4 linked regions of the Arabidopsis thaliana genome follow. The protein of the gene in region 3 interacts with the protein of the main gene of each other region in a pairwise test. Each region holds a gene or a part of one and is shown on either strand. Other genes may lie near its edges.

The links.
Region 1: the proteins of AT1G72180 (region 3) and CHX20 interact in a protein complementation assay, tested with the Arabidopsis thaliana proteins (one large-scale study listed by BioGRID).
Region 2: the proteins of AT1G72180 (region 3) and AT5G39990 interact in a protein complementation assay, tested with the Arabidopsis thaliana proteins (one large-scale study listed by BioGRID).
Region 4: the proteins of AT1G72180 (region 3) and WAV2 interact in a protein complementation assay, tested with the Arabidopsis thaliana proteins (one large-scale study listed by BioGRID).

What each region holds. Positions count from the first base shown.
Region 1 is NC_003074.8:19,905,068-19,911,868, reverse strand, and holds CHX20 (cation/H+ exchanger 20), read left to right. Parts: upstream 1-1,642; 5' UTR 1,643-1,841; coding exon 1,842-2,021; exon of another isoform or gene 2,022-2,123; coding exon 2,124-3,158; intron 3,159-4,421; coding exon 4,422-4,658; intron 4,659-4,882; coding exon 4,883-5,596; intron 5,597-5,680; coding exon 5,681-6,043; 3' UTR 6,044-6,278; downstream 6,279-6,801. Other genes in the region: AGD6 (ARF-GAP domain 6), read left to right, coding at 6,450-6,801. UniProt on the Arabidopsis thaliana protein: Operates as a K(+)/H(+) antiporter that maintains K(+) homeostasis in guard cells and could regulate pH. Plays a critical role in osmoregulation through the control of stomates opening.
Region 2 is NC_003076.8:16,002,372-16,007,361, forward strand, and holds AT5G39990 (Core-2/I-branching beta-1,6-N-acetylglucosaminyltransferase family protein), read left to right. Parts: upstream 1-1,881; 5' UTR 1,882-2,122; coding exon 2,123-2,759; intron 2,760-2,844; coding exon 2,845-2,920; intron 2,921-3,017; coding exon 3,018-3,133; intron 3,134-3,542; coding exon 3,543-4,057; 3' UTR 4,058-4,452; downstream 4,453-4,990. Other genes in the region: AT5G39980 (Tetratricopeptide repeat (TPR)-like superfamily protein), read right to left, coding at 1-701. UniProt on the Arabidopsis thaliana protein: Beta-glucuronosyltransferase involved in the biosynthesis of type II arabinogalactan (AG). Modifies both the beta-1,6-linked galactan and beta-1,3-linked galactan present in type II AG.
Region 3 is NC_003070.9:27,161,117-27,167,951, forward strand, and holds AT1G72180 (Leucine-rich receptor-like protein kinase family protein), read left to right. Parts: upstream 1-1,703; 5' UTR 1,704-2,059; intron 2,060-2,880; 5' UTR 2,881-2,957; coding exon 2,958-5,320; intron 5,321-5,423; coding exon 5,424-5,632; intron 5,633-5,726; coding exon 5,727-6,088; 3' UTR 6,089-6,314; downstream 6,315-6,835. Other genes in the region: AT1G72190 (D-isomer specific 2-hydroxyacid dehydrogenase family protein), read right to left, coding at 6,342-6,410, 6,503-6,715. UniProt on the Arabidopsis thaliana protein: Receptor kinase involved in the perception of C-terminally encoded plant signaling peptide (CEP) and subsequent regulation of root and shoot development.
Region 4 is NC_003076.8:6,942,442-6,948,068, reverse strand, and holds WAV2 (alpha/beta-Hydrolases superfamily protein), read left to right. Parts: upstream 1-1,554; 5' UTR 1,555-1,753; coding exon 1,754-1,991; intron 1,992-2,280; coding exon 2,281-2,316; intron 2,317-2,446; coding exon 2,447-2,525; intron 2,526-2,636; coding exon 2,637-2,691; intron 2,692-2,783; coding exon 2,784-2,900; intron 2,901-3,597; coding exon 3,598-3,762; intron 3,763-4,183; coding exon 4,184-4,412; intron 4,413-4,525; coding exon 4,526-4,533; 3' UTR 4,534-5,114; downstream 5,115-5,627. Other genes in the region: BRXL4 (BREVIS RADIX-like 4), read right to left, coding at 28-126; AL5 (alfin-like 5), read left to right, coding at 5,223-5,322, 5,523-5,555. UniProt on the Arabidopsis thaliana protein: Involved in the regulation of root growth. Involved in the suppression of the root bending in response to touch stimuli, gravity and light. Negatively regulates stimulus-induced root bending through inhibition of root tip rotation.

The sequences.
Region 1 (6,801 bases), on a different chromosome or scaffold from region 3:
TTTCTTTTTCATTATTATTGCTATAGACTGTTTCATACACAAGTTCCAGTACAACTTAAAACACCATGATTTCACAGACAATTTCACTCTGCCGACCTTATTTGGGCGTGTGAGTCGTCAATGTCAAAGCTATAGTGTCTTTATAAATTGAGGATGTATTCTTTTCTTTCTTTTTTTTGTCAACAAAATTATTAGGATTAGCAATCTTATTTTCTACAAAGAGATACAACAAGTGTATTTGACATAACTCTTATGACATATCTGATCAACATGCAAAATATGACTTTGAGCTGCAATTTAAGGTACAATAGTCTAGCTAGATTCATGAATCTTCTCTATAAATCTTTTTTTTTCTTTTTTTTTTTAATGTTCTATCTTTGAGCTGTAATGTAAAAAAAGATGGGTGAGACCAAACTTGCTATGTTTTGAACTAACTGTTCCTCAAAATTTGGAGGACCACTTGTTTGGCACTTTTGGCTTGCCTTCATGAAAAGTCCAAATCTATTTCATAGAAAGGGAAATGAAATAACGATCGCCTCGTGATTTTCAGTTTTTTTTTTTTTTTTTTTTTTTTTTTTGTAATCAGTATTCTTGTGAATTCTCCCACTATCTAAACTTTTAAAAAGTAATATGATTGACGTAGTTTCTCTTAAAAAATTTAAATAAGTTTTTTTCCATTGGATATGTGTCTTGGACTAATATTTCGACCATTAGGTAGGTCAGAAAATATGGATTTCGAGTCTATAACTTTTGGTGACCTTTTTATCGCGTCAATCGGATTTGAGAGATCCTTAAGATAATATGCACAAAAGTAACTAACGCTCCAAAACATCTAATAGAAAACCGTGTGATCATTATATTAATCTTAAACCACAAACATACATAATTACTTAACCATGAAATGGTCGAAATAAAGTGTGATTACAAAATTTATAGCATCTTCGAGGCAGTCCACTGCTTTAGATCCTTTATTTCTACAATTTCAGATGTCTCTTTGCCACAATCTAACTCTTAATTTTTTCATACTGTATATGATAGTCATAGCTATTATCAACAGTTTTATTTCAAACTTGACGAACAATCTAAACTAGATAAAAAGTTAGGAAAGTCGTAAATACCAAGCAGAATTGAGATACCACTTCTTGGAAAAATCAACAGCTCTATTTAATGAAAATATTGCCAACTTATATCGAAATACTTTGGAATATATGAGAAGTCATAGATACGTGTCAATTTGGTTGCACTTGTAAAACCCATCCACGCCGACGCAGCATTTGTCAACGCCCATCTCTCGCGTCCCACGTTTGACTCACATGATTCCTGCTTCGGTGATAAGCCACTCTTATTTTAGTTTGCAATTTCCGTCTGTGAGACGAGTTGTTTCTTTTTTTCTTCTCAATACTAAATTTATGTTATTAGTTTTGCTTGAAATAAAACTGATAAGAATGAGTTATAGCAACCACAAATTGTTTTTGAGTAGATTTTTACTTTCTATACTTTATTGTAAACATGAACAATTCAAAGACATAGATGGTTTCTAATTATAGCACCCAAAATCTAATGGTTTTTAAATTTTCTACTAAAAAAACAAATATCATAAGAAAAAAAAAAAAAACCAAATACTTCCACTCAAGGTCTAGTCACACGTGAGATGCACCAAAATTACAAGTAACAACATAATTACTTTTTTGAATCTTCAAACCAATACATTTATAATTTTTGCCTATAAATTTCTTCACATATCTTCTTCATACTTGAACTATATCACATGTTCCAAATATAGACGAGAACAAAACAAAAAAAAAAAGTCGTCGATAAGAGAGTCCTTTGAAATCCCCAAAATGCCCTTCAACATAACCTCCGTGAAAACCTCATCTAACGGAGTATGGCAAGGCGACAATCCTTTAAACTTCGCTTTTCCGTTACTCATCGTCCAAACGGCGTTAATCATCGCCGTCAGTCGCTTCCTCGCCGTCTTATTCAAACCTCTCCGTCAACCCAAAGTCATCGCCGAGATTGTCGTACGTTAAAAATTACACTCTAACCCCACACACACTAACTATTTACAATTTTACCATAATAATCTTCTTAATTTACAATTCTGCCATCGTCTTCTTCTTCAGGGAGGGATTTTGTTAGGACCATCGGCTTTAGGTAGAAACATGGCGTACATGGACCGTATATTTCCGAAATGGAGTATGCCGATACTCGAATCCGTCGCGAGCATAGGACTTCTCTTCTTCCTCTTCCTCGTCGGTCTAGAACTCGATTTATCATCGATCCGACGAAGCGGCAAACGCGCTTTCGGAATCGCAGTCGCTGGAATTACACTACCGTTTATCGCCGGCGTCGGAGTCGCGTTTGTGATCCGTAACACTCTCTACACCGCCGCGGATAAACCAGGTTACGCCGAGTTTCTCGTTTTCATGGGAGTCGCACTCTCGATCACAGCTTTTCCGGTACTTGCGCGTATTTTAGCAGAGCTCAAGCTTTTAACGACTCAGATAGGAGAAACCGCGATGGCTGCAGCCGCTTTTAACGATGTAGCCGCGTGGATTTTACTCGCTTTAGCGGTTGCGTTAGCGGGTAATGGCGGTGAGGGAGGTGGAGAGAAAAAGAGTCCGTTAGTGTCGTTGTGGGTTTTGTTATCGGGCGCTGGGTTTGTGGTTTTTATGTTGGTTGTGATCCGACCCGGAATGAAATGGGTCGCGAAACGTGGATCTCCTGAAAACGACGTCGTACGCGAGTCTTACGTGTGTTTGACGTTAGCCGGTGTTATGGTTTCCGGTTTCGCGACGGATTTAATTGGGATTCATTCGATTTTTGGAGCGTTTGTTTTCGGTTTGACTATACCGAAAGATGGAGAGTTTGGTCAGCGATTGATTGAACGAATTGAGGATTTTGTTTCCGGTTTACTCTTACCGCTTTATTTCGCTACGAGTGGTTTGAAGACTGACGTGGCTAAGATTAGAGGAGCTGAGTCGTGGGGGATGTTGGGTCTTGTTGTTGTTACGGCTTGTGCCGGGAAGATAGTCGGAACTTTTGTTGTGGCGGTGATGGTTAAAGTTCCGGCGAGAGAGGCGTTGACACTTGGTTTCTTGATGAATACTAAAGGTTTAGTGGAGCTCATTGTACTCAACATAGGCAAGGAGAAAAAGGTTAGTTTTGTCTTCCTTTTTTCTGATTTTTTAAGGTTCTTGTTTACGCTTTTAGTTATCTGATGAATATTATAAATATAAAAAACCTAGTAACACTAAAGTTATTTGATCATGTTTAGTGGATAAAGCATATAAAACAAAATACGATTATTATATTGATTTAATCGCATCTATACCTTTATTTTAGGGTGTTTAGATATATTTAAAAATTTAGGTTCTAGTTGGATCCATGTGTATATGCGTCCGGTCCGCTCAATATTGGTAGGCTGGTCGGGGATCCGGAATAGTAAAATTGCTTATGTTTTATTTGAACATTAACCAACCGTTGTATAAATTCAAATTGATAGCTAGGCAGGCCCGGCTCTAGGGGAGTGCCAGAGGTGCTAGTACACAGGGTCCTCATTTTTTTTTCTTAATTTTAAGTCTTCTAGTTTGCAGTTTTTTTTTTTTTAAGGGGAAAACTACAAAAAAAACAACCACCAAAATAAAAGATAATAAGTTTAAAATAAAAATACAGTAAACACATGTCACATAAAGTTATTTTGTTTAGATTTAAGGGCTATTTTTGTTTGTAGCACAGGGCCCAATAAAATATTGAGCCGGGCTGCTAGGTTTACTATCACTATAATAGACACGGTTGCAATTTGATAGCTAGGTTTGCTCTCAACCGTTGTATAGTAATATTAGTCACCATAATACAAATCTGCAGTTCATTAATCATAGACTGATGGACACGGTTGCAATTTGATAGCTAAGTTTACTATGTGCATCGAAGATGATGCAGTTAGCAATGGTAGCTTCAAAACATTAGTCCGTGATTCTTTTGTCACCTCCGAAATAAACATTTTTATCTTAAATATATGTGCAAGATTATACTATAATGCTTCTGGAAATATGTAGTATATAAAATTTTTTGTTTAAACGTGTCTTCCCAACAAAGATTATAGTTATATACTACACTTTTATTATAAAGGCGTTTCTTATTGTTTTGGGGTAATAAAGAAAAACTGATCAATTAAGGACTAGTCATATATATGCATGCATGAAAACTTTATTTTTATTTTTTTTTCTGCATGAAAACTTTATACGAATATACCTTTTCGAATGGGCCAATGTTTACGTAATCGTCACTTACTGATCCACTTGCAGATTTATGATCTTCTTCATAATGCAACAATAAAGTGAAATAATGATTACCCATTAATGTAGTAAGTGTGGTTATTTTTAATTAAACTGTTTGTACGCGGGGTTGACTTTAACCAGGTACTAAACGACGAGACGTTTGCAATACTAGTGCTAATGGCACTCTTCACAACGTTCATAACGACGCCTACTGTAATGGCCATTTACAAGCCGGCACGTGGCACCCACCGCAAACTAAAAGACTTGTCGGCGAGCCAAGACTCCACCAAGGAAGAGCTTCGCATCCTAGCCTGCCTCCACGGCCCAGCCAATGTCTCCTCCCTCATCTCTCTCGTCGAGTCCATCCGAACCACCAAGGTAAATTACCTTTCTTTTATATTTTTACGTTACAATAATCTATATTTAAATTTGTAAATCTATGATAAGAGTTATATCAGAAAATTAAGATATCATTGAAATGCTCAATGAAAATGTATCCTACGTATAATTACACACATTTTGTATAGTTAAAATTAAAAATCAGCTGGGTAATAATTTATAATCTTGGTTAATAATTTAAAAAGTCGTATTTGTTTTGGCAGATACTACGGCTAAAGCTGTTTGTGATGCATCTGATGGAACTAACGGAACGGTCTTCGTCAATCATAATGGTGCAAAGAGCCCGTAAAAACGGACTTCCTTTCGTTCACCGTTACCGTCATGGTGAGCGTCACAGCAACGTCATAGGAGGCTTCGAAGCCTATCGTCAACTAGGCCGGGTCGCAGTCCGGCCCATCACCGCAGTCTCTCCATTACCCACAATGCACGAAGACATTTGCCACATGGCAGATACCAAGAGGGTCACAATGATCATTTTACCTTTCCACAAACGATGGAACGCTGATCATGGTCATAGCCACCACCACCAAGACGGAGGAGGAGATGGAAACGTACCGGAAAACGTTGGTCATGGTTGGCGATTGGTTAACCAAAGGGTTTTGAAGAATGCGCCGTGTTCGGTGGCGGTTCTTGTAGACCGTGGACTTGGGTCCATTGAGGCCCAAACTTTGAGCTTAGATGGGTCGAATGTGGTTGAAAGGGTTTGTGTGATTTTCTTTGGTGGGCCTGATGACCGTGAGTCTATAGAGCTCGGCGGGAGAATGGCTGAGCATCCGGCCGTTAAAGTTACCGTTATTAGGTTTTTGGTAAGAGAAACGTTGAGGAGTACCGCCGTCACTTTACGACCGGCACCGTCTAAAGGCAAGGAGAAGAACTATGCCTTTTTAACAACCAACGTGGATCCAGAAAAAGAAAAGGTAAATCTCTTTTGATCCCCTATGTTTATATACCAGTTATGACAAATATAACTATAGCTTTCTTTCTTGGAAAAATAATTATAGGAATTAGACGAAGGGGCATTGGAAGACTTCAAGAGCAAATGGAAAGAAATGGTGGAGTACAAAGAAAAGGAACCAAACAACATCATTGAAGAAATACTGTCAATAGGACAGAGTAAAGACTTTGATCTAATAGTGGTTGGAAGAGGGAGGATACCGTCGGCCGAGGTGGCGGCATTAGCTGAGCGTCAAGCTGAACATCCTGAGTTAGGTCCTATCGGAGACGTGCTCGCCTCTTCGATCAACCACATCATTCCATCAATCCTTGTGGTTCAACAACACAACAAAGCTCATGTAGAGGATATTACGGTTTCCAAAATTGTTAGTGAGTCTTCTCTAAGTATTAACGGAGACACAAATGTATGATAACAATAAATAAATTGATCTAGTACTTAAACTTCGGCTTAATGCATGGTTAAAGTGGTTAGTTGAAGATGTAGTTTATCTACAATATATAGATAGCTCTTGAGTAAGAATTGTAAGATCGTCTACATATAAATAACCATGATTGGGCATCTTGGGCATCGTCTACATATAATTTCATATTTGGACTAAATAGTAAATACAATTATCATTTGGGCCATTTGAGAAACTACCGGAAACCTCTCACGTGCCAGAGACACGTACCAAAAAAAACCCCGAACATTTATTAGGAAGAAGAGAAAAAACGGAAAAGAAAAAAAAACGCATCAATCTGAGCAGCACAAGTCTGCGAGATTTGGATTAGATCTGATTCAGGTTGGATTGATCATCGTTCGGAGCTCCGGGAAACATGGCGGCGACGAGACAATTACGAACTCTCCAATCTCAGCCTGAAAACAAGGTATGTGTCGATTGCGCTCAGAAGAATCCTCAATGGGCGTCGGTTTCGTACGGAATCTTCATGTGTTTGGAATGCTCCGGGAAACACCGAGGCTTAGGCGTTCACATATCCTTCGTCAGATCCGTAACCATGGATTCATGGTCTGCGATCCAGATTAAGAAAATGGAAGCTGGTGGTAACGAACGGCTCAACAAATTCTTCGCGCAATACGGAATCGCTAAGGAGACAGATATTATCTCCAAGTACAATTCGAACGCTGCTTCTGTGTATCGTGACCGGATCCAAGCTTTAGCTGAAGGTA
Region 2 (4,990 bases), on a different chromosome or scaffold from region 3:
AGCTCAATGAGGTTGCTATACAAAACAAGGTCACCAGAAACACGGTCTTGTTCCATCTTTTGAAGCCAAGACAAAGCAGAATCAAACATACCCTCTTTACCAAACGAGGTAATTAGCGTTGAATAAGTATACCTATCAGGGGCAAGAGCTCTCTGACGCATTTCGTCGAACAGTCCGTGTGCAATATCAAACTGCTTAGCTCTCAACACATTTCGAAGAACAACATTGTAGGCGAACACAGAAGGTGTGTATTTGGCTTCCTCATGAACCCAATCGAGCAATGCCAATGATCTCTGCCAATCATTTTCTCGAGAAAGAAGAGAGACCATGAACCGTATAGATAATTGTCTGTCTTTGTAAGTTGAAAGCAAAGAAAAAAGCTCTTTTTCGTTCTGGGTCTGGTGAATTGAAGCTAAAAGCTCGTCCATATCGACGTTGTGGTCGAGAAAAGCAGATCTTTGATACCTCCGATGTTTCCTTAAGGCCTGAAACGACGACGTAGTGTTCTTCTCCGGTTGTTTTCTCCATACCTTTTTGTTTTGTGTGGATTCTGAAGAAGAAGAAGCAGAGACTGTGAAGATGAGATTGCGTTGTCTAGCTTCAGGAATGGTGGAGAAGGGTATCGAAGTGTAGATATGAGGTCTGGTTAAGGGTAATAATGGAAGAGAAAGTGAAGAAGATGAAGCAATTTCTATGTACATCTTACACAAAGGATTTTTTTAAAAACAAAAGTACGTTAAATTTTAGTTTCCAGCCTCATCGACAGTCTATTTATAAGTAATATATCAGAGTTGAGAGTCAGCAAAATTTAAGCTCATCTCTATCTCTCAAAAGCAAAGTAAAGCTTAACCAATGGAGATAAGGTATTTTCATATCCGTAGTTACGTACAATTCGTAAAATGTGTTTTCGTACCTAAATATATTTGTAGAGTAAACTATAACCCAAACCAAAAAAATATTTAAATTTCATATCTAAAATTTGTGCAAAAACAAGAGTCAAATTAATTAGTGTTAGCCAACATTGTTACAGTGCTAAGTTAAGCGAACACATATATGATGATATGTCTTTAAAAGATATGTAGACTCGAACCTGTAAGTTATAGCTTTTAAATAAGTATCTAATACCGATTTATCCGACAACCTTCTCCGGGTTATACACAATAAAACAAATTTATAAATCTTAAATATCTGGTATCAATTATCAGTTCTTATTTACGGACCAAATTTCACGCTAAAATGAAAATCTACTATTGATAAATTCGTGGAAAAGATCAAATCAGAAGTTAAGAACAATGACAAGACTCATTTAGATTCACTGCTTTATGTATTTTGTTAGCTATGTCTTTTGAAATCGAAATGGAAGAAGAGTCTATTGAGAAGATGTATCAAATGATGGCGGAAATTTTAATTGTTGTTGATCCTACATCAAAATCCTAGAATTTGATTATTTTTTCCAATTCACAACGACATTCTTTTGTTAATCTGAAAACACAACACACTTAAGGTATATAAACTAAAACGTTTGGGTAAATCTCGATGAAGATTATGAGATAAAAATGGTTATGTACCTCCTTTAAAAGCAAAGATCTAAAACCAACATTTACTCTAATAAAAATTCAGATAATAATTGTAAAAGTAACAGAATGTACTTTCCTAACATGTATACAACCGGATATCCATCATTGTCTGAAATGGACACACACCCTCGAAAGTCTAAATTAGTTATCACTGGTTACTTCTCTATTTGTGTCTAACGAATAAAGTCCTTGGTTGACTTATTATGTGTTCCAAGTTTATGGGCTTTATAGTGGCCCATCACATAGATTCCAGATTTCATTTTATTTCCTACCTACTAAGATCTGATCTGGTTTTAATGCTCTTGACCAGTAGTAATCTTTCTCTTTTCGTTATTTCCTTCTTCTTCAGTTCCTCCTTCTTCAATCTCTCTATTCTCTTACTAACGTTATTTCTTCAATCTCATTGATCAAAAAAAACCAAAACCCTAATCTGCAAAAATCTCAATTTCCTCCAAAAGTTTCAGTTTTTAAAAATGGGTTTTCTTCTTTTGTAACGAAAAAATGTGTCAAACTTTGAATTGACCATTTTTTTTTATAAGGATTCGATGAAGAAATTGAGAAGCTATTACTCAAATGTGAGACATCATCAGAATCACCATCATCATCACCATCATCATAGCAACATTGTTTCTTCAGAGAGGAAATGGATATTTTTCCCTCTATTGATTGGTTCAATCTTCGCTTTGTTCTTACTCTTCCTCACAACAACCCTAACTTCACCAACCGGAGGAGTCCGATTTCTCCCTTTTACCCGACCCGTTTTGTTAACCGGATCTGGTTCATCAGCTTTCGTTGAATCCAAAATCAAACCTCAACAAATCTCATCACTCCCGTCGCCACCGCGTTTTGCTTACTTGATTTCTGGATCCGCCGGCGACGGGAAATCTCTCCGGCGAACTCTTTTGGCTCTTTACCATCCGAATAATCGGTATGTTGTTCATTTAGATAGAGAATCTTCGCGTGAGGAGAGAGAGGAGCTTCATGGATATATCAAAAACTCGTCTTTGTTTCGAAGGTTTATGAATGTTCATATGATTGAGAAAGCTAATCTTGTCACGTATCGTGGACCTACTATGGTTGCCAATACACTTCACGCCGCTGCGATTTTGCTTAGAGAAGGAGCTGATTGGGATTGGTTTATCAATCTTAGCTCTTCTGACTATCCTTTAGTGACTCAAGATGGTGAGGTTTCTGAGGAATTGTTTGAGAAAAATTGAAACTTTTAGTTATGATTGTTCACTAAAGATTTGACCTTTTTGTGTGTCAGATTTGTTGCATATCTTTTCGCATTTGCCGCGGGATTTGAACTTCATTGATCATACTAGTAACATTGGATGGAAAGCGTAAGAAGAGTTTTAGAGTTTTTGTTTTCTGTGTCTTTTGTTTCGTATAGTAGAAGGAACTCTGATTTTGTTGTTGTTTTGATCTGGTTTCTTTTAGATCACAAAGAGCAAAACCGGTGATTATAGATCCTGGACTGTATTTGAACAAGAAATCTGATGTTTTTTGGGTTACGCAAAGACGGAGCATCCCAACAGCATTCAAGCTTTTCACAGGTGCTTGATCCCTCTAAAGCCTACTCGGTTTGTTACACTATAATCATCTCTGAAATTGCTATGATTTGATTCATGTTTAGTTGGATGAAACACTGACTCATCATACTTAGATTGCTAGGAAAATCTTTATAATCTCTGAGCAATTCACAGACTTGTTTTGATTGGTTGTCTCTATGTAGCTGTTTAGTTCGGTCGGTGCTTCTCAGATTTGCTCCATTTCTCATTGGTTGAACAACGTGGAATCATTATGCTTAGATTAGAACATTTGATAAGATCTGCAATATTATACTAAGAAGTTGGTTTTAAGTTTTGCCTTTGATTGTTGGGAAGACTTTTCTTCAGAGTCTATGATTCTCACATCGTTACAATTTCAGATTCTCTTTAACTAACATGTGATTCTTGGGAACAGGCTCTGCTTGGATGGCGTTATCTCGGCCATTCGTCGACTATTGTATATGGGGTTGGGATAATCTACCTCGTACGGTCTTAATGTATTACTCGAATTTTCTCTCTTCTCCAGAAGGATATTTTCACACTGTTCTCTGCAACGCTGAGGAATTCAGAAACACAACGGTAAATAGCGACCTGCACTTCATATCGTGGGACAATCCGCCTAAGCAGCATCCACACCATCTCACTCTTACAGACATGACCAAAATGGTAAATAGCAATGCCCCGTTTGCTAGAAAGTTCAGAAGAGAAGATCCTGTCCTTGACAAGATCGATGATGAGCTCCTTAACAGAGGTCCTGGGATGATAACACCTGGCGGTTGGTGCATTGGAAGCCATGAGAATGGGAGTGACCCTTGTGCTGTTATTGGTGATACTGATGTTATCAGGCCTGGTCCAGGCGCTAGACGGCTCGAGAATCTGGTAACTTCGTTATTATCCACTGAGAATTTCCGATCAAAACAGTGTAAGTGATCTGATATATCTAGAGAACGACATCACATAGAGATGGAATGTAGCAGCCTTGATTATTGGGGTTAGATGTGATTTAGGATCTGATAGAAATCCCTCTTTTAGTCAAGAATATAAGTGAAGAAATACAGAACAATTAGGCTATATGATGTGGGAAGTATTTGTCTTGTTGCTCCACACAACATGCCTTAAGGTCTTGTTGTAGTTCTCAGATTGGAATTTTGAGATTTTGTACTCTGCTGTTTTAAAGTTAGTTTCTTCCTTTCAACTTCTTATTTTGTAGTTAAGTTAAACCCAAACATTGCATTCATGCACTAGTAAAAAGAAACATAAGAAGCATTTTAAGCTCATAGAACAAAATTGCGTCAAACAGTAAAAATCATCAACCAACTATTTGTACTTGTTAGTTGTTCCCATCAGTTTTACAATTTCAAGATCAAAACCGGATATTGAATACACCGGTTTGATATCTTTATTGGTTTTCTTTCCCACTCCACTGACTTGTCTCCTTAGATATACACATGTTAAGATTTTTGAGGAATTCTTTTGTTCATCTAGAAACTTCGTCTCAACGTTTTGATGATCAGCACTAACAATACGACCACAATGTTTAATAAAAGAAGAAAGTTTTGAAGGAAAAAGTTTTCATATTGGAAAACCATACCTTTCAAAACTTTCTATCTGTTTATCTTCATGCAAGCAAGTCATTTTAAAGATAGATTTTGAAGTTTAACCTCATAGTGCTAGGATTCAGACAAATATGGATTGAAGTATAACCAGATTAGATTACACCTTAAGACAAAAGAAGCAAATTCATACAAATTCAAGACCCCGTAGTGCTAGGTTTTGTTTGTACTTTGTAAATACTAAATTCTAATGATGCTATTTATGTAGAACATTTACCAGTTTAACATATATTTGGTTTATTAATTTTAG
Region 3 (6,835 bases):
GCTGGGGAAGTCAACATCCAAATCAAAGATCTTTTGATTCTCACTCACATATCCCTTTATTAAACCGTATCTCTTCCCATTTAAACCGACACAAGAAAATTTATTAGGTATCACGGTTAATACTTTATTATTCAGTAGAAAGTATTAGTATTTAAACAACTAAAGAGAAGTTTTTTTTTTTTCTTGCAATAGCTAAAATTCCATTTTGTATACTCTTAAAAAAACTATGTTAGTATTATTGATTTTGGCCAAATGTATGGGGGGATTTTTTTTTTATAGTATTCTCATCTACTTTTTGTTTTTGTTATTGACTGTCTCTGATTTCTTTCTCGTGTATTGTCTCACTTTTTAAATCATTATCTTAGATTTTTCTTAATAAAATAAAGAAGCAACATACTATATACTATTCTAACATGTAGGATGATAACCTTGTAAGGGCCATAACTTTATGGAATTTCATTTGTAAGTTTGAATAATTACCAATCGAGTGAAGTGAGCATGAAAACAAAGTGATTCAGTGAAAGGGGTACATTTATAACCACATAATCATCATATACTAACCATTTCACTATCTATTACCGTTTCTAAATATTTTACTGTATTATGGTCCTTTAATTTGTGTTTTAACTTTTAGTGGCTAAACGATGCCATAGGACCCAAGGCCATCACACATTGATATCAATCAGAAAGAGAATAAGCAATTATAAGTTTTCATAATAAATATGTGATATAAAACTTGGAGATAAATCAGAATGGGATTCGGAGCATAAGGGGATAACATTAGAGAGATGGATGTAGAAAGAAAAGGACATTGAGTAGGTTAGACGATTCTTATCAAACTTCACTTAAAAGGGTAATCGACCCAACAACATTTTAGTTCTCTCTTTCTTTTTTGGTTCTTTAATTTTAATTTATTTTCCAGACTGTAAACGAATATTAACACTACAGAAGAAACCAAAAATGTTTTTTTTTTCGGCCTAACTATTTGGGATCAATACGATTCGTTGCTTATTTTTTTCTAGTAACCTTCATAGGTTTCTCCAAGCTTTCATTATTTATTGTAATTGATCTCCACTTTAAAAGTAAAATCCAATAAATCAGCATTTCCTAATTATATACTAGTAATATTTTTTCACTTTTATTTTTATCATCTTATATATAGGAACTATATGAATGTAAATGTTTTCACGTAACGTTTTGGACATATACAACTAGTAGTTGCTACTAATTCCAATAGGAACAATTATCGCTATGACAAAAACAAATATCAAATAAGATTATTTTCCAGACAATGACGTATCATTATAATAATAAATTTTAAAATGTTTTATTACAATGAATCTCCACTTATTATCAATCCATCTAGAAACATTAACCGAAAGATGAATGTTTTTCTACATCCATGAAACTAATTTTTTAGGTCAATGTCTGTTGTTGATCCTCTTTTATATATTAGAAAACTATATAAGCACCGTTGGATTTTCTTAACCTGAGAGCGACGCTAACTATAAAGAAAGATCATCATAACATATTATATGTCAAAATCAGTATAGTCAGATGATTTTTATTAACTTTAAAAGTTTTTACAACTTTCACGAACATGAATTGTATGGTGAGAGAAGCTAGCTAGAGAAATAGTTGATTTTTTGATAAATGATTTAACCTTTTTGGCTCCAAGTCTCGACGACAACTTTCTCTTGTCTCTTCTCACTTCTCTTTCCTCTCTCCTCTCTTCTCAAATCTCTCTCTCTTTCGTATTTCTTGGAGACATCTTTCTCTGGAACTGTTCTTCATCGAATTCTATCTTTTGAGAGAAACTAAATTAAGTTGATAATCGAAGAACTTCCTCGAAATTAGGACTTCTTCTGCTTTTTGTTGTTTCCTAGAGATTTTCCTAGAACGTGGTCCAAGAAAATCACACAAAAAGGTTCATTCCTTTTTTCTTACCAGAAACCACAAATCAAAATCATCTCCCCTGTCTTTGTTTGAAATCTCTCAAATTTAAGAAGGATCATCCATTCACTAACCTGAGATTTTGGATAGGTTTCATCTATTTCAGGTACGATAATTCTTCATTATATTTTGTTTAATCCCGTTGCTTTTCTTGGTTTTAAGTTTTGAATCTTTAAGCCTCACATATTTGTTTTCTTTACTCAATCTAAGGTTGTTTTATTTCCAAAGATTTAAAGGATAGATTCTGTGAAAAAGTTTCTATAAATTTCAAATTTTCAAATGTGTAGGTTACTAGCTCTACTAATAACATAATTACTTTATCCACTAACTACAATCTGCATGACTCATTTTTAACTTGATTGTTTATTTAATTACCTTTTTAATCATTAATCCTTGATAGATACTCAATTCTCAATGTTGTGTTGTTCTTTTTTCATTAAAATTCAATGCTTTTAAAGTTTATATTCACAGATTTAGAAGGAGAGAGAGAGAGTAAAGATAGATCATTTGCTTTACTTTCAAACAAAATAATTAAGAAACTGAAAATTTAGGAGAAGGATAATAAACTTTCTGCACTGTAATGAGTACCTTTAAAGCTCACTTTTGGAGTTTGTGTACTTAAGCAAGCTTAATATGTCCATCTACCATACATGATGTATAAATGTATCACAACTAATTTATGATTTATACAAAACTGTTCACAAATCACATGCACCCATTCTTCTTACAAAATCTTTGCTATGATTGATTTTTTATATATATAGTAATATACGTGCATAGAATATAATAATAATAAACAGTAAACACAATTGGAAAACCATAATACTATGAAAATCCCATACATTAAAATATCAAATTTATTTTGAGTGGATTATTAATTGTATAGTGGTTAGTTTGTTGATTTCATATCTTTATTTTTCTATGTAGGTGGGAATTCCAGTGCATCGACCATGATCAACACCTAAACTACAAATTGACCGTTTTGCCCTTGGGAATCACTATAAATGTCGAGAAGACCAGACCTCCTACGTGGCAGCGTGGTCGCCACCGTGGCTGCCACGTTTCTCCTCTTCATTTTCCCGCCGAATGTTGAATCGACCGTTGAGAAACAAGCTCTGTTTCGCTTCAAAAACCGCCTCGACGACTCTCACAACATTCTACAATCTTGGAAGCCTTCCGATTCACCATGCGTGTTTCGCGGCATCACATGCGACCCGTTATCCGGCGAAGTCATCGGTATTTCTCTAGGAAACGTAAATCTCTCCGGCACCATTTCTCCATCAATCTCAGCTCTCACAAAGCTCTCTACGCTATCGCTTCCATCTAACTTCATCTCCGGAAGAATCCCGCCAGAGATAGTCAACTGCAAAAACCTTAAAGTTCTCAATCTCACCTCCAACAGACTCTCCGGAACAATCCCAAACCTTTCTCCTCTAAAGTCCCTAGAAATTCTCGACATCTCCGGGAATTTTCTTAACGGAGAGTTTCAAAGCTGGATTGGGAATATGAATCAGTTGGTTTCTCTCGGTCTTGGCAACAATCACTACGAAGAAGGTATAATTCCTGAGAGTATTGGAGGTTTAAAGAAACTTACTTGGCTGTTCTTAGCTCGCTCCAACTTGACCGGGAAGATTCCAAACTCGATCTTTGATCTGAATGCTCTCGACACTTTCGACATCGCGAACAACGCAATCTCCGATGATTTCCCAATCTTAATCTCAAGATTGGTAAATCTCACCAAGATTGAGTTGTTCAACAACAGCTTAACAGGTAAAATCCCTCCGGAGATAAAGAACTTGACTCGTTTACGCGAATTCGACATCTCTTCGAATCAGTTGAGCGGGGTTTTACCTGAAGAACTCGGAGTTTTGAAGGAGCTCAGAGTTTTCCACTGTCATGAAAACAACTTCACCGGCGAATTTCCTTCTGGTTTCGGCGATCTAAGTCACCTCACTTCTCTTTCGATTTATAGAAACAACTTCTCCGGTGAATTTCCGGTTAACATCGGCCGGTTCTCGCCGCTCGACACGGTTGATATATCTGAAAACGAGTTTACTGGTCCATTTCCAAGATTCTTATGCCAAAACAAGAAACTACAATTCTTGCTCGCCTTGCAGAACGAGTTTTCCGGCGAGATTCCGAGATCTTACGGCGAGTGCAAATCTCTATTGAGACTAAGGATTAACAACAACCGTCTAAGTGGTCAAGTTGTTGAAGGATTCTGGTCTCTACCGCTTGCTAAGATGATTGATCTCAGCGATAACGAACTCACCGGAGAGGTTTCTCCTCAGATTGGACTTTCAACAGAACTGAGTCAGCTCATTTTACAGAACAACAGATTTTCCGGCAAGATTCCTCGTGAGCTCGGAAGATTGACTAATATAGAGAGGATTTATCTGAGCAACAACAATCTTTCCGGCGAAATTCCGATGGAAGTTGGAGATTTGAAAGAGTTATCATCTCTGCATCTTGAAAACAATTCATTAACAGGATTTATCCCTAAGGAATTGAAGAATTGTGTCAAACTTGTTGATCTGAATCTCGCTAAGAACTTCTTGACCGGAGAAATCCCTAACAGTTTATCTCAGATTGCTTCTTTAAACTCGTTGGATTTCTCAGGGAATAGGCTAACAGGTGAAATCCCGGCGAGTCTTGTGAAGTTGAAGCTGAGTTTCATTGACTTGTCTGGAAATCAACTTTCAGGAAGAATACCACCGGATCTTTTAGCGGTGGGAGGATCCACCGCGTTCTCACGTAACGAGAAGCTCTGTGTTGATAAAGAGAACGCTAAAACAAATCAGAACTTGGGGTTGAGTATTTGCAGTGGCTACCAAAACGTGAAGAGGAATAGTTCACTCGATGGAACACTCTTGTTCTTGGCTCTTGCAATTGTTGTGGTAGTACTAGTGAGTGGTTTGTTCGCGTTGCGTTACAGAGTTGTGAAGATACGTGAGCTTGATTCGGAAAACAGAGATATCAACAAGGCGGATGCGAAGTGGAAAATCGCGTCTTTTCATCAAATGGAGTTGGACGTTGATGAGATTTGTAGATTGGATGAAGATCATGTGATTGGATCTGGAAGTGCAGGAAAAGTGTACCGTGTTGATTTGAAAAAAGGTGGCGGGACAGTGGCGGTTAAGTGGTTGAAGAGAGGAGGAGGAGAAGAAGGTGATGGAACAGAGGTCTCTGTTGCGGAGATGGAGATTCTTGGAAAGATTAGACACAGAAACGTGTTGAAACTCTACGCTTGTTTGGTTGGAAGAGGTTCTAGATATTTGGTGTTTGAGTTCATGGAGAATGGGAACTTGTATCAAGCTCTTGGCAACAATATTAAAGGCGGTCTACCAGAACTGGATTGGCTCAAAAGGTACTCTCTAGTCAATAAGAACCAGTTTCAAAATGGTTAATCATGGATCCAAGATTATAAGAAAGAAAAGTGATTAATTTGTCCCTTTTTGTTGGATAAACAGATATAAAATTGCGGTGGGAGCGGCAAAAGGAATCGCATATTTGCATCATGATTGTTGTCCACCCATCATTCACAGAGATATAAAGTCAAGCAACATTTTACTTGACGGAGATTATGAGTCGAAAATCGCAGATTTTGGAGTTGCAAAAGTTGCAGACAAAGGATATGAATGGAGCTGCGTTGCTGGAACTCATGGCTATATGGCTCCTGGTGAGTTTCCAACTTAACTATAAACTTTGGTTCACAAGATGAAAACTGGGAACTGATTCTTTTTTGTTGTAATTGTGTGATATGATCACTGCAGAGCTGGCTTACTCCTTCAAGGCAACGGAAAAGAGTGATGTGTACAGCTTCGGTGTGGTTCTTCTAGAGCTAGTTACCGGTCTTCGGCCTATGGAAGACGAGTTTGGAGAGGGGAAAGACATTGTTGACTATGTCTACTCTCAGATTCAACAAGATCCGAGGAACCTTCAAAATGTTTTGGACAAGCAAGTTTTGTCCACTTATATAGAAGAAAGCATGATTAGAGTTCTGAAGATGGGTCTTCTCTGCACTACGAAGCTCCCGAATCTCAGACCGAGTATGAGAGAGGTCGTGAGAAAGCTTGACGACGCTGATCCCTGTGTCTCCAATTCTCAAGACACAACTGGAAAGATTACAGTATAGATTGATGATTCACCTACCACGTTTTAGTTATGGTTAAGACTAGTCACTGGTCAAAGAAGTATCAGTTTGTTCGAGACTTGAGTAAAAGTACGAGAGATTGGTTTTTGCTTATTTACTAATCCGTTGTACTAAAAAGTTTGCAGTGAAAGGTCGGAGTTATCAGAAAGAGACTTGGATTAATTTATATTAACTACTGTGGGTGTGTGTTACAGGATATTATTCTTGTGACGATAATACACGAAAATGTTACCTCTTAATTGACGAATTCGATTCCGGTGAGAGGAAGTCCTTCATGCAACTGAAGCGCGAGGTCTCCGACAATCTACATTTAACAACAGTAAGAGTTTAGAATCCATTTCCAACCAAATGCAGAAGACATATCAGAAAGAGTGAATCTTCCTTGGATGAGTTTACCTTGGCCATGGACCTATATGAATATTCGGTAACTCCAGCGACATGAGGGGTTATTATAACGTTTTTGAACTTCAAAATAGGATCATTTGGATCAAACGGCTCAGACCACGCCACATCAATCCCAAGGCCTCCTAGATGACCGGACTCCAGATTCTGGAAAGCTGATTCATAGTTAATAAGACCACCTCGGGCAATATTTACAAGAAGAGCACCCTGAAACAACCAAAGAGAAGTCAACAGTCACCAGTAATCACAAAATAATTCAACTCCGTTGACGACAAAAAAAAAAAAAAAAAATTCAACTCGGTTTTTCCAAATATGAATAGCCCCGGT
Region 4 (5,627 bases), on a different chromosome or scaffold from region 3:
GAGAAGAGTGAGTTTATTTCAATTTACCTGAGATGTTAGAGATTTGGCGTTTTTAGAATCTGGATCGTCTGGTTGACCGGAGGATTCATCGCCTGCTCGCTTCGAACGAGCTATACACGTCAGCATTTTCCGGTGACTGGCTTGGTCTTTGATTTGAGATTTTTTTTCTTTCTCTTTTTGGATACGGAGAGAGAGAGACAGAGATGGTGTCAGTTTCTTCTACTTTGGTTTGGGTTCGGTGCTCTTTTTATGTTTTATTCTCTCTTTTTTTTTATAATTTCTGCTTAAGAAACTTTAAACCGGGATTACCGGTTTCCAATAAAGGTTCCGCGTCTCACTACGGTAATTACGCAATCCGGTGGTTAAAATTTCGAAAGTGAAAAAAGTAAAAAGTTTTGGTCTTGCATAAGGTAAGGTAAATCATTTTTGTTTGTTTACTGATTAGCTAAACTTGTACAGAGGTTAGACTATATACATGATTTTTGGCCTGTGGATTTAGACTTTCAGAGGTATCAAAGGTCGTTCTTCACACTCAAGTAGCCAAGTGTGCTGCAAGATTTGAAGTTAATCGATATGTATGCAAAATTTGACTCTGACTTTTGAGAAACCTAAAACGAAATAATTTATTATGTGTGGTTCTAAGCTAGATCACAATAATAAAAAGTTGTTCTTAGCATTATTCATTAAATGGGTACTGTAGTGTGTTGTTCATAACGCTTCTGATGGCAACTCATTGACATTTAATTTAAGGATAGCAATATGTTCCGTCCGACAATATTTATGTATGTGACGTCTTCGTCTACATTACATTTCAAGTGAATAATGATCCAACGACTCGAAAATATTAATAGTGTAAGTATTTTTGTTGTTGTTGTTGTTGTTGTAAATTTGGTAATGTACTAAACTGAAAATTAAAATGTTTTGGCAAAGGGTGGTGGTCCAAGACTTGTTTAGTTTACAAACAACTCTTCAGTATTTTTCTTTTTTTTCGACCAGCCACTATGGTCTTGTTATCGTTGAGTGTCAATATAACCTTTCTGAAACATTACACTAGGGTCACTAAGATAAATTGGTCTCTTCTCCACTTTTATTATTTCATATACAAATTTGTATGTACCAAGATCTTATCCACAAAATTTCGTTTTTCCCAAAACTATTATAATATTATTAAAGAGGTCAAAATGGTTTGTGCTTGTTTACAATATATTTAAGTTTTTTTTTGCTAAGTTTCTTACAACATTTCAAAATGCATGACAATGATTTTACTTAACTCATTTAAGCAAATAACTTCGCGATACAAACAAAAATCAAGTTACTATTATATAAAAATCAAGATAGAAACTGTAGAATAATCTATATAATTGTTGAGTACAAACTTTACAACTTAGCCGAACTATTGATTAGAGTTCATCGGGAAATGTCATATTTGAGTATTGTTGGTGGACTCGCAAATGAACAATTTAGACCACCAAATAGAGCTACATTTTCTTATGGTGAAGACTCAAAATCGGTTTGGGTTTAGCGCATAGATGGGCTTTAGTTTCGGCCCAGTGAAACTCTGTCTCAATCCTTCTCACCTGTAAACTTAAAAAAAGAAACGAAGAAGCTCTTTTTCTCCCCTCTGAAGAAGAAAAGCAAAATCCACGAGAGAAACAGATAGAAAGTTGCAAAAGTGCGTTCGATTTTTGCTTCTTCTTCTGTTTCGGATTCGGATTTGGATTTGGAATCTGCTCCTTTAGCAGAACCAGAGGAAATGGTGACGTACGTGAGCGCGTTGTTCTACGGATTCGGAGGGATAGTCGTCGCCGGAGTGGCGCTGCTCGTGGCTTTCCAGGAGAAGCTTGTGTACGTCCCAGTGCTTCCGGGTTTAAGCAAGTCTTATCCGATCACTCCCGCTAGGCTCAATCTCATCTACGAAGATATTTGGCTTCAATCATCCGATGGTGTACGTCTCCACGCTTGGTTCATCAAGATGTTCCCTGAATGTCGAGGTCCACACTCTCTTTGATCATTGAGTCTCCTTTCGATTCAGTTTTTTTTTCCTGGTAGATTTGATTTTACATTTTCGAATAAGCTTTTGAATCTACTGAATTTTGAGGGATTTTAGGTCTTGATGTCTCTGTCTTTAGCTAGGTTTTGGATTCCTTTTCTCAGATTTGTGATCCCTAAGTCATTTTAGCTTTAGTTTGGAACTTATCTGTCACCTAAAATCTAGTTGCTTGTGGTTGGTAGCTTTAGCCTAATTCGAAGTCTTTCTAATAGTTTATGTTTGGCATGCAGGTCCAACCATTTTATTTTTCCAGGAGAACGCTGGAAGTATCCTTTCCAGAGCCATTTCTTGGTTTTTGTTTGTTTATATTTGTATGCTCTAAGGAACCTATTTTATGTTCCATGTCTGTTAGCTGGGATACTTTGTCTTGTTACGACCTTGACCTTAGAATCCCAGACATCGCTCATCGTCTGGAGATGGTTCGCATCATGATACAAAAATTGAAGTGCAATGTATTCATGCTTTCATATCGCGGGTTAGTTTCAGTTTGCTGGTTTCTGGTCTATCTCTTATATAAATTGTTTGTTTTTGAGTCTAAACCTTGGATCTGTTTATACAATGCTTATTGATTTTCCCGTGCAACCAGCTATGGGGCAAGTGAAGGCTATCCTTCACAACAAGGTATCATAAAAGATGCTCAGGTTTGCTTGTCTCCCTAAATTTATCCACATATCTCTTCTGTTGCGTCTCCATGTATTCATTATCCATTTTCTTGCCTGATATTTTTTGTTAGGCTGCATTGGATCACCTTTCTGGAAGGACTGACATTGATACATCTAGAATAGTTGTATTTGGAAGGTCCCTTGGGGGAGCTGTTGGAGCTGTGCTTACCAAAAACAATCCAGATAAGGTACTATTAGTACATATTGCTATTGGTAGCATTTCATGAGTAGGGAAAATGTATATTTTATTAGAAGAGAGACAGTATAGGCCAAGTACCAGCCGCCAGCTCTGTGGATGTTACTGTTTAAAGGGAGAAGTATTATTGAGAGTCCCACATGGTTACGAATGAGACTAACAAATGCCTTATAAATTATAACGCCTAAGGGCACCTTCCTCTCTCCTCTAGGGGCTTGGTTTGGATGGCTTCTTATCAGTATATTAATGAGATTCTGGTTACTGTTGCAAATTATTATAACTCATGGTCTTTGGCAGATGACCTGGAGTCCAATTGTATAAAAATTTCTAGAGTACCTCTTTATTTAGATTCTAGTCACTTATCATCAGTAACAATCTACGCGGTTTGTACTATCTGAATATAATTATTTTTTGTGTTAAAGTTTTAGTCATCTGGCAATAAAAGAACCTGGTTGATAGGGGTATTCGTTTGAGCTTTGTTATAGGCCTCCTTTTATCACCCCCACTGATATTTACTATTATATGCACAAGAACCTTATCCTTCTCAGAAAATTTCTTGGTAAATGAAATTTGTAGATGCCTTGATTAAGCTATTATTTTTGTTCTTGTTGTCTCTACTTCCAGTATTTCATTTGATATCCACACGCCTTATAGTTGTATGTTTACCATTTCTCAATGTCGCTATATAGGTATCTGCATTGATTCTGGAAAATACTTTCACATCCATTCTTGATATGGCTGGCGTTTTGCTGCCGTTCTTGAAGTGGTTTATTGGAGGAAGTGGTACGAAAAGCCTGAAGCTTCTTAATTTTGTTGTACGTTCTCCCTGGAAAACAATTGATGCTATTGCTGAGGTAAGATGCAAATGTAGACTCTTGCAGATAGATGTTAGATGGATTCTTTTCGTTTACTGTTTGCATATGCCATAAAATGACTCATTTAAGCAAAAAACACTATGGTACCCCAATGACCTCACTGGCATATATATTAATATATCTCATGCATTTGCATTCCTTCATTTCCTTTTAACGGGACATAGTGTATATATCTTTGCGGAATATGTTGAATTCATGATAAGCTAACCCGAACTATAAAATTATTCATGTATGCCGCAAGCTGATTGATTGCTCCCTGATTTGTTCTATGGAGTAAAACTTGAAAGGAAACAAGAAAGGAGCTTGATGTGCTGCTAAAAACATATCCCTGTTAAAAAAATGTCTCATCGTTTGATTTTCTGTAGCAACCTGTGATAAACTGATCTTGCAACAATGACAGATCAAACAACCAGTGCTTTTCCTCTCTGGACTGCAAGATGAGATGGTCCCTCCATTTCACATGAAAATGCTGTATGCGAAAGCGGCTGCCCGTAACCCTCAGTGCACATTTGTGGAGTTTCCAAGTGGGATGCATATGGATACATGGCTGTCTGGTGGTGAAGTTTACTGGAAAACAAACTTGCAATTTCTCGAAAAGTATGCGCCTGAGAAAAGGAAAGAAGATACAGGTAAGATGATCTACCAAGTATAAGTAACAATTTTGTTTTACAGAGATGTTTCTTGGGATGTTTTTCCCAAAGTAGAATACTAGGCTTGACGTTGGTCTCTAATCTGATGACAGGAAGGTAACGATCAACGATGCTGTGTTTAGAGGAAGATTCGACTCACTTATTTCCTATTGCAACCTGAAACGACGGTATTGTTTGTTATAAGCATGTGTATACGTATGTTGCATTTGGGAGTGACAGATACAACTTGTTCAGAGAGTGAGATATTGGACAGGAACTTTTGTAAGCAGAACCAGCTAGTGGAGATGGCAAGTGTAAGCTAATCAGATGCATTTGCTTCGTCTCAGTTTTCCTTCTTTTTTTTGGGTTATTTTTTTTCCAATTGTTGTTGGTGTTTCTCATCTGATCGTAACTATTTCCTCTGGATGATCATGGCTTTGTAGATGATTGAGAAAAGTGAAAAAAGACATGGTTATATGATTATATCTTGAATGTGTTGATTACGTCTGTCATTCATAATATTTATGAAATCTGTAGAGTAGTTTTTTTCCCGACAAACTTGATTATGTTTGAAAATGAGATAACACCAAACTAAACGCACGAAGACATTATTAATGTCCATTATTTATGTATTTTTATTTTTAAATAAGTGTTGTGACTAGACCGGGTCGGTCACTGTCCACGGGGCAACTTTTTAGTCTGCATTAAGTTTTCTTACTTTATCACTTAAGAACAAAAATTCTGCTTTAGAAAAAAAAAAGAAGCAAACCTCACTGTTCTTTCATCGTTTCCGAGAGAGGAGAGACGGACATGGAAGGAGGAACTGCGCACTACAGCCCTCGAACTGTCGAAGAAGTCTTTCGAGATTTTAAGGGCCGTCGAGCTGGCATCATCCAAGCTCTCACCACTGGTCTCTTCTTTCTTCTCTTTGCTTTTTAAAGTTTGAAACTTTTCTTATGGGTTTTGAGTTTTTCGTGGGAATTCTTCTCATGACGATCGTTTGGTGGCTTTATTTAGACCCTTTTTCAACAATTGTGCTCTAGTGTTATGGATTGTGTTGATGATGCTTAGTTCTTCGAATTAAGAACAATTAATTTCTTTTTTTTGCAGATGTGGAAGATTTTTTCCAGCAATGCGACCCTGGTTAGCTTTTTTCTCTCTCTAGCCTTAAGTATGCTCTCAAGCTGTTTCAGTTATTCCTGATTTTGAATATGC